2 linked regions of the Oryzias latipes genome follow. The protein of the gene in region 2 purifies or fractionates together with the protein of the main gene of each other region. This does not show direct contact. Links are inferred from orthologs where the notes say so. Each region holds a gene or a part of one and is shown on either strand. Other genes may lie near its edges.

Evidence for each region.
Region 1: the proteins of NADPH--cytochrome P450 reductase (region 2) and emc4 purify together in Homo sapiens (affinity purification with mass spectrometry; 3 studies listed by BioGRID and IntAct, with this or other methods). This does not show direct contact. The link is inferred for Oryzias latipes from reciprocal best matches to the Homo sapiens genes POR and EMC4.

What each region holds. Positions count from the first base shown.
Region 1 is NC_019876.2:21,393,686-21,398,249, forward strand, and holds the start of emc4 (ER membrane protein complex subunit 4), read right to left. Parts: upstream 2,964-4,564; 5' UTR 2,822-2,963; intron 1,380-2,821; exon of another isoform or gene 1,362-1,379; 5' UTR 1,335-1,361; coding exon 1,234-1,334; intron 1-1,233. Other genes in the region: ubiquitin carboxyl-terminal hydrolase CYLD, read right to left, coding at 4,370-4,554. UniProt on the Homo sapiens protein: Part of the endoplasmic reticulum membrane protein complex (EMC) that enables the energy-independent insertion into endoplasmic reticulum membranes of newly synthesized membrane proteins.
Region 2 is NC_019871.2:22,326,256-22,330,072, forward strand, and holds part of NADPH--cytochrome P450 reductase, read right to left. Parts: intron 3,616-3,817; coding exon 3,567-3,615; intron 3,256-3,566; coding exon 3,127-3,255; intron 2,869-3,126; coding exon 2,716-2,868; intron 1,846-2,715; coding exon 1,721-1,845; intron 1-1,720. UniProt on the Homo sapiens protein: This enzyme is required for electron transfer from NADP to cytochrome P450 in microsomes. It can also provide electron transfer to heme oxygenase and cytochrome B5.

The sequences.
Region 1 (4,564 bases), on a different chromosome or scaffold from region 2:
AGCCTTCACTACTGAGGAGGAAGCTGGAGGATGCAGGTGTGGACCAACATCTGGTTGCTTGGACCATCAACTACCTCACAGACAGGCCACAGTTTGTGAGGCTGCGTGACTGTGTGTCTGATGTGGTGGTCTGCAGCACGGGGGCACCTCAAGGGACTGTGCTCTCCCCATTCCTGTTTACCCTGTACACATCAGACTTCACCTACGACTCCCACCACTGTCATCTGCAGAAGTTCTCAGACGACAGTGCCATTGTGGGCTGTGTATCAGGGGGGGATGAGCAGGAGTACAGGGGGGTCATCACTGACTTTGTTAGCTGGTGTGAAGTTAACCACCTGCTGCTTAACACCAGCAAGACGAAGGAGCTGGTCCTGGACTTCAGGAGGTCCCCTACACCACACTCACCGGTGAACATCCAGGGTTCAGACATTGAGGTCGTGGACACATTTAAATATCTGGGTGTTCACCTGAACAACAGACTGGACTGGTCCAACAACACGGATGCTCTGTACAGGGGGGGTCAGAGTCGCCTCCACCTGCAGAGGAGACTGAGGTCCTTTGGCGTGTGCAGACAGCTGCTGAGGACCTTTTACGACACTGTGGTGGCCTCAGTGGTCCTTCATGGAGTTGTGTGCTGGGCGGGGGGCAGTGCAGGCAGAGACTTGAAGAGGCTTAACAAACTGGTCAGGAGGGCCGGCTCTGTCCTGGGCTGCACACTTGAGTCCATCGAGGAGGTGGCGGACAGGAGGATGTTAGCTAAGCTGACATCCATCATGGATAACCCCTCCCACCCCCTGCACCAAACTGTAGAGGCGCTGACCAGCTCCTTCAGCACCAGACTGTTGCACCCTCAGTGCAAGAAGGAGCTACTGCAGGTCATTCCTCCCCACAGCCTTCAGACTGTACAACACTGTGTTACAGTGACACACTACAGTCCCAGGGGTGTTTTTCATTCACTCATTTATTTATTTACTTTTGTTGTAGTTGTTGTTGTTTATCAAATGTTCTTGTTCCTAAACGGTGTTTGATTGGTGTGTACTTTTTTACTTATCTATTTTTGGAAATAAAAAATAAAAAAAAGTATCACCTTTGCACTGGATCACACGCCACCTTTGTAGCTGTATTTATTTATAATGAGAATGTCATTTTTGCATTTCAAGGTCCTGGAGGTCCTTGCCAGTCTCCACATCGCAACCCCAAAGAAACTCTTTGGAGGGAGGAGATCCCACTCACCTGGTGTTTCCAAGGCTCAGCTCCAGAGCCCACTTCATCCTCCGCGTGGCCCCGCCTCCTCGTGTGGACAAAACCCCTCCTTGCCCCCCTGGAGACGCCATGGCAATAAATCAACAAAATTGCTTGACCTCAGAGGAAGAAAGCACCTGCAGAGGAAGAAACAGAAAAGGTTTAACTTGTGACGGATCAATGATCGTCATACATGCTGCTCCATTATCTACAACATGATTCAGTCGGAATATTTTCACCTCCAAAATATCAATATCAACCCCCGCCTATTCTGCCTCAGTGTGTGTCTATAAAGTTTTTATGTGGCCTTACAAAATAATTCCTCAATAATATCCACCCAAATCATCATAAGGACTCCTAACCACATCACCCTCATCCTGAAAGAACTTTACTCATTCTGCTCCTCAACTCTTGAACTCGCTTCTATCTGAAACATGATTCACTTCCTGTCTTTAAATCAACTATCAGAACTCTTCCTAGAACTGAAATTTTCCCCTCCATTTGTTTCCTTATCCTCTCTGTTTCCCTAAAATAGGAGTATTATTTTTATTATTTGTCTCTTGCATGTACAGTGTGCTTTGGTGTGTTTAAAAGCACTTTCTAAGTAAAATGTATTGATATTAAAAAGAGGATGTGAACATTGCTGCTGATGAGAGTAAAGACATCACAGTTGCTTCAGTGAGTCTTGAATCTGTGGTGTTGCGTAACTGTTGCAGTCTTTTTAATGTTGTAGTATTACCACTTACATTCATTCACTCCAACTACTTTAAAGTTGATTGGGTATACCCTCTCTGTTGACTATTGTATACATTATGACAATGTCTTCCTCCTGCTAGTTTGTTGTTTTCTTCATCAAAATACCTAAAAGTTTAATTATTTTTACCCTTCAACATCTTCTGCTTCAGTTTTTTTCTGCTTCCTGATCTTATTTGTTTCAAATTTCAAAATAAGAAAATAGTTGGGCTCAGGTCTGAATTCGAAACCAGGGTGGTGTCTCAGATTTGGGTCTCTGTGACCCAGTTCTCCAGACTATTCATCTTTTCAAACCTTAACTCCTTTTTGATATTATTAATATAATAATAAATAATAATATAAATTTATATTCATCATTTTTAAACATGGGTGTGGGAGTAGGATTTTGAGTGAATTCACTGCATCTAATAGACACACTTTTATTTAAAAAAAAGTCTTCAAAGAAATACATGCGTTGAATTAGTAAGGGTGAATAGCCAACGGAGTGTGCAGTATCAGAAATTAACGCAATACAAATGAACCCTTCCTTAATGCACACCCAGCAGCCAATCAGAATCGAGAATTCATCAGGACCATGGCATGGTGGAGGGACTGCGACAATTTGCTCTGACCGCCGTCATTTGCCGCAGCGACAAAACTACAGGCAGCGGCAACAAAAAGTAATAACCGTTACTAAATACCGGCAGGATACTAGATTACTTTGTCCAAACGAGCCTCGGTTTGAAATGTTTTATTTAACCGACTGTTCGGAAAAGACAACGAGCCGAGTTAACGGCGCAGATCCACTCTGTCCGGACTGAAGAATCTAAACTGAGGCTCCCCCTACCTCACGGGGACACCAGCGCACCCACGGCCGCTCTGCAGAGGCTTATTCCGCGGCACAATGTCCGAAAAGAAGAGCTGCTGTCGCTAAAACTCGACCAGTCAACAAATTTACCTTCTAGGCCCTCAATGATGACGCAGTCAGGCTGCGCAAAGGAAGTGACGTAACTACCCTTGCCCCAACCAAATAAGAGAATCTAAAACAATGTCGAGAGAAAAAATACTCACCAAGTTAAATTTAGATGAAGAATTTTTAAAAACCCGAATAAAACTAATAAAGGATTTTAAAACAAAGTAACTAAGTGAATATATTTGATTTTAGTATCAAATGCCTGATTTGAAAAGTCCATCGATTGACAAACACATTACTCCTTAGGAAATCATAAAACAAAAATATTTCTGTATTTTTAACAGTAACTGAAAATCTTTGTTTGTGAAGCACATGTAAAAGTAGTTTTGGGATTATTTCTACCAAATTAAAAGCAACAATTTTTTATCATGGATTTCATAGGAGTAAAAACAAAAGAATAAATAAAATGAGTCATTTCATATTTTTGGTAGTCTTTTATTTTTGCCGGTGGCTGTTATATATTAAATCAAAGTCAGTATCTATGAAGTTCAAACACCTGTGCGCAAAAACATAATTCTGTACAAACTCTGAGAAATTTGTGAAACAGTGCAAGTTCTATGGTCAGGTTCTGGTGAGTCACAGCGGTACTTTGCAGCACATGTACATTTTTAAAGGTTGTGGAAATATTTCCCAGCATGCTGCTGTGCTCACAATTGCTCATAAGGCTCGCGTCCTGAGGGTTACTGCTTTCTTGTTCTTCCAGCTGTGTGGCTGGTTTGGAGCAGAGCAGCTTCATCTACAATCAATACAGGTATAGAGTGAACGCTGATCACAGAAGGTGCAATGAATTGGACAGTTATTAATGATTAAACTAACTCCCATCTAGGGATAAACCAAGTACAATCTTGATTTAAAAAAAAAAAATGTAAAGTCTGGGTTGATGATCCAGTGTTGGACACACATGTGCATTTTCAGCTGGGAGGAGAGCTTTAATCAGTTTCCATGCGGGAACCTCCCAAATGGATAAATAAAGTTGTCTATCTATCTTTACCATCGAATCCCATTAGAAGTAACAACAAACTCCTTTAATAAATCCCAGCGTTTGTAATCCCCAACAGTCACTGCTGCTCTCAAGCTCTTTCCTAAATCCATGCAGGAATCCTCCTCTGGTCCCTCTCTTTGTTTCCAGACAAACCATCATTTACAGCTGACAAATATACAGAATAAATAAAAACATCAAACCTTTGGGACAAGGTATTTAGTTTGTTTAGATTGAAAATGCTGTTTCTCTGATTGTCAGTGTGAAACTGCAGATTTTATGTCCTTTAAAATGAAAGAACCATGGTCCCAGTTTCAGAAGACACACCCCACATCTGCAGACTCCCCCCCATCTCACACACACTTTAAACGAGAAAAGCAATGTTTTAAGTCTCAGCAGAGAGGAAGGGCGGAGTACAGCTGCTCAGTCTGCAGGATGGCTGATCACCGGTACAGGCTGAGTTCAGGGCTGTGGTACAGACACATGTATGAGTCACAGAGTAGGCGGCGGACCGTCTCCCGCAAGGAGGCGGGGTCCACTCTGCTCAGCTCCTCCTCTGAGAGACTGAGGTAGCGGCCAACCTCGGGACACGCCTTGACTTGGGGGATATTGAAGCCATTCTGTCCACCTGGGGGGAG
Region 2 (3,817 bases):
AAATATTCTGACATATAATAAAAAAAAAAAAAAAAATTTCTTCAAAATAAACCAAGACTTTAAAAGAAAACCAATCTATGAATTATTGCCAAGTTCCATGACCGGGGTTTGGGCCGCCGAGGCACCCGCCCTCGCCTGCCACCCAAACCACATTGCACCGGCCTCTTTTGAGGTCTCCAACGGGTGGTGGGCCTACTCAGATCCAGGAACAACAGTGCGGTTTCCGTCCTGGTCGTGGAACAGTGGACCAGCTCTACACCCTCTTTAGGGTGCTGGAGGGATTGTGGGAGTTTGCTCATCCAGTCCATATGTGTTTTGTGGATTTGAAGAAGGCGTTCGACCGCGTCCCCCGTGGTATCCTGTGGAGGGTGCTATAGGAGTATGGGGTCTGGGGAGCCTTACTGAGGGCTGCCCGGTCTCTGTATGACCAGAGTAGGAGTTTGGTTCGCATAGCTGGCAGTAAGTCAGACCTGTTCCCGGTGGACGTTGGACTCCGGCAGGGCTGCCCTTCATCACCGGTTCTGTTCATTGTTATTATGGACAGAATTTCTAGGTGTAGCCAGGGGCCGGAGGGGGTCTGGTTTGGGGACCACAGGGTTTCATCTCTGCTCTTTGCAGATGATGGTGTCCTTTTGGCTTCGTCGGGCCGGGACCTCCAGCGTGCATTGGGGAAGTTTGTGGCCGAGAGTGCAGCGGCTGGGATGAGCAACGCTAAATCTGAGGCCATGCTTCTCGACCGAAGAAAGGTAGTTTGCTATCTCTCGGTGGGTGGAGTGTCCCTGCCCCAGGTGGAGGAGTTTAAACATGTTGGGGTCTTGTTCACGAGTGAGGGGAGACCGGAGCGTGAAAGTGACAGGTGGATCGAAGCGGCGGCCGTAGTTTTGCGGTCGCTGTATCGGTCCGTTGTGGTGAAGAGAGAGCTGAGCCGAAAACCAAAGCTCTCAATGCAACGGTCGATCTTCGTTCCAATACTTACCTATGGCTCTGCGCTCTGGGTCATGACCGAAAGAACGAGGTTCGAATACAAGTACAATACAGAACCGCTTCTCCTCCACATCGAAAGTCTGGATGCCTCCTGGACGCCTCCCTGGGGAGGTGTTCCGGGCATGTCCCACTGGGTGGAGGCCCCAGGGAAGACCTAGGACACGCTGGAGAGACTACGCCTGTCGGCTGGCCTGGTAACGCCTCGGAGTCCCCAGGAGGAGCTGGAGGAAGTGGCCAGGGCGAGGGAAGTCTGGGCATCTCTGCTTAGACTGTTGACCCCGCGACCTGGTTCCGGATAAGCGGAGGAAGATGGATGGATGGATGGATGGAATTATTGCCTTATGCAGCTCTTGTTCGGCTTCGCCATGTTTTTCCCAAACTCGCAAATCAATCTCCTCAATACTAAATACTAAACTCATCCATAAAGAAATTAAATAGAGAAAATCTGTAAATGAGCATTATTATGGATTTGTTCCAGTAATTTAAGTGCCAGTTTTACTAAAAACCTACTGAAAAACATTTACTGGTACACAAATTAAAATAGTGGCAAAAAACAGAGAAATGAATCATTTTTGTACTGCTTTTCATTCTTCAGGTGGCCATAATAAATGCTTTTATTTTTCCACTTTAAAGAACAGCATCATCTTTTCTTTAGTGGTCCATCAACAAATGAGGTTCACGACATGTGTGACATTTTGTGAGGATCTACAATAGTCTTAGTTAGCAGGTGACTCACTTGCTGTCGTCGTCTCCCAAACCGAGATCAAAGATGCGTTTGGCTCCAAGCTCCTCCAGCCTTTTGTCCACGTATTTCCCCATCGCGTTGTAGTGTTCGTACGTTTTATTTCCCAGCGCAAACACCTGGAGAATAAAGGACAACATGAAGCAACACTGGTAGCTAATGTCCACACCAGGACACGTTGATGGTGATCATGATGATGATGACTCTGCCTTCCGTTTCATCTCAGCACTGTGATAAAACAGGGAAAGGAGGAGGCTTAATGTTGCTCCAGAGCTTAATTAGTGTGTTGCTGACATGGAAGATCCTATCGAACGCACAAACACAAACAGAGAGAGCCACTCTTGCAGCACACATGCAGCTTGAATGCGAACAGAAGTGACTCGTATCTCTGCAAGATTTAGAAGTCAGAATTACTTAAAAGGCGTCTTTGCAAATGCTGCATTCCTGTTGTTACAACTGTGTCTTTCACCTTAACACAAACTTAGACCGACCATTTTCCTTCTAATCGCTACAAGAAATGACAAAAAATTATCTAAACAAAAAAGAAAAACTCAAAAGACGCCACATGTTCAGAAATATTGTAACAAACGGGTTGCTGGAGCCTATCCCAGCTACTGTGAAGCAAAGGTGGGGGTAAAGCCCGGACAGGTAACCAGTCCATCCCAGGTCTTTACATACATTCACAACAATTTAGAGAGACCGATTAACCTATAAAGCACATTTTTGGATTGTGGGAGGAAACCTGAGCAGCCAGAGAAAACCAACGCGTGCAGAAAGGACCCAGCTGGGATTCAAACCACAGCCTTCTGGCTGTGAAGTGAAAGTGCTCACAACTTCCTGACCCTGCAGCCCTGGCTTTTAGATGTGAAAGCTGGGTTCTAGAACTTTAATTTTAATCTTAATATTCTGGTATTACATTGTTATGGATTTGGCTCTTTTTTTTTAAGGGTTACTTTAGCCTTATGGAGGGTCTGCAGGGAGAAACTCACAGTGTAGTTCAGTCCAGAGAGGTCTTCATCATCGTTCTCCTGCAGCCAGTCATAGAAGTCCTGGGCGTTATCCGTCGGGTCGCCTTCACCGTAAGTGGCCATACAAAAAATAGCCAGTGAGTTCTTGATCTCAGACATACGGGCCAGTTCCCCCTGCAACCAAAACCGTCGTTTTAACCACGTTCATGTCTGCAACCTTCCGTTTTCAATAAAAAGAGGCTCCATGCACTAGGAATGCAGAACTCCTCTGACAGTTCGCGCTGTGACAGACCGATTCTCCTTCTGCAGAAGTCTAGCAAAAAGTCTCATCTCCTGTGTGCTTCTTCACTTTATTGAGGAAAAAGTAAGAACCCTGACAGTACTACTTTACAACATGAAAGTGTTAGACATGGGCCCACTGGTCCACATTACCATGGTGTACTCCTCTGGATCAGCAGCCATTCCTTTCATGCCATAGCGCTGAGCATCTTTGGACAGCCTGTTGGCAAATTCCTCTGCTGTTCCCGTCTGGGAGCCGTAGAACACGATGATGTTCTTCCCCTGTCCACAAACATAAAGAACCTTCTTTACACTGTCCTGCTAAAGCACACGGCTACAGGCCAGACCACAGCTAACTTTTCCTGTACTTTTGCAAGTAAAAAAAAAATTAAAAAAAATACTGAAAATAGAGCCTAAAGGCGTTTATTTAAACTACCTGAAGAGAGTCAGGACTGGAACAGAAGTAATAAAATAATCTAGAAAATGTTTCTGAGATTCAGAGCTTTCTATCCAGTCTGCTGTAGCCAACAGGAAAAGGACATTTAGTGCTTAGGAGCTAAAAGTAGATGAAGCTGACAAACCAATTCACTTACAGTTTTCTTCATCTTCTCAATGAAACTCGTCTCTCGTTGTGAGACTTGTCTGTATGGGGAAAAAACAAAATAAAAAACAAAAAGCGTCTGTAAACATGCAGCTGAACGTTCCACATCAGTAATTATTTAAAAAAAAAAAAACACGTGGCACACAAATAAAGAAATATATACATTTGCAAAGTAGCTCTGACACAAGAAGGCCTTCATAAACGCTTCCTAGTCATGTATTCCAACAAAAAGAGGCAATACAA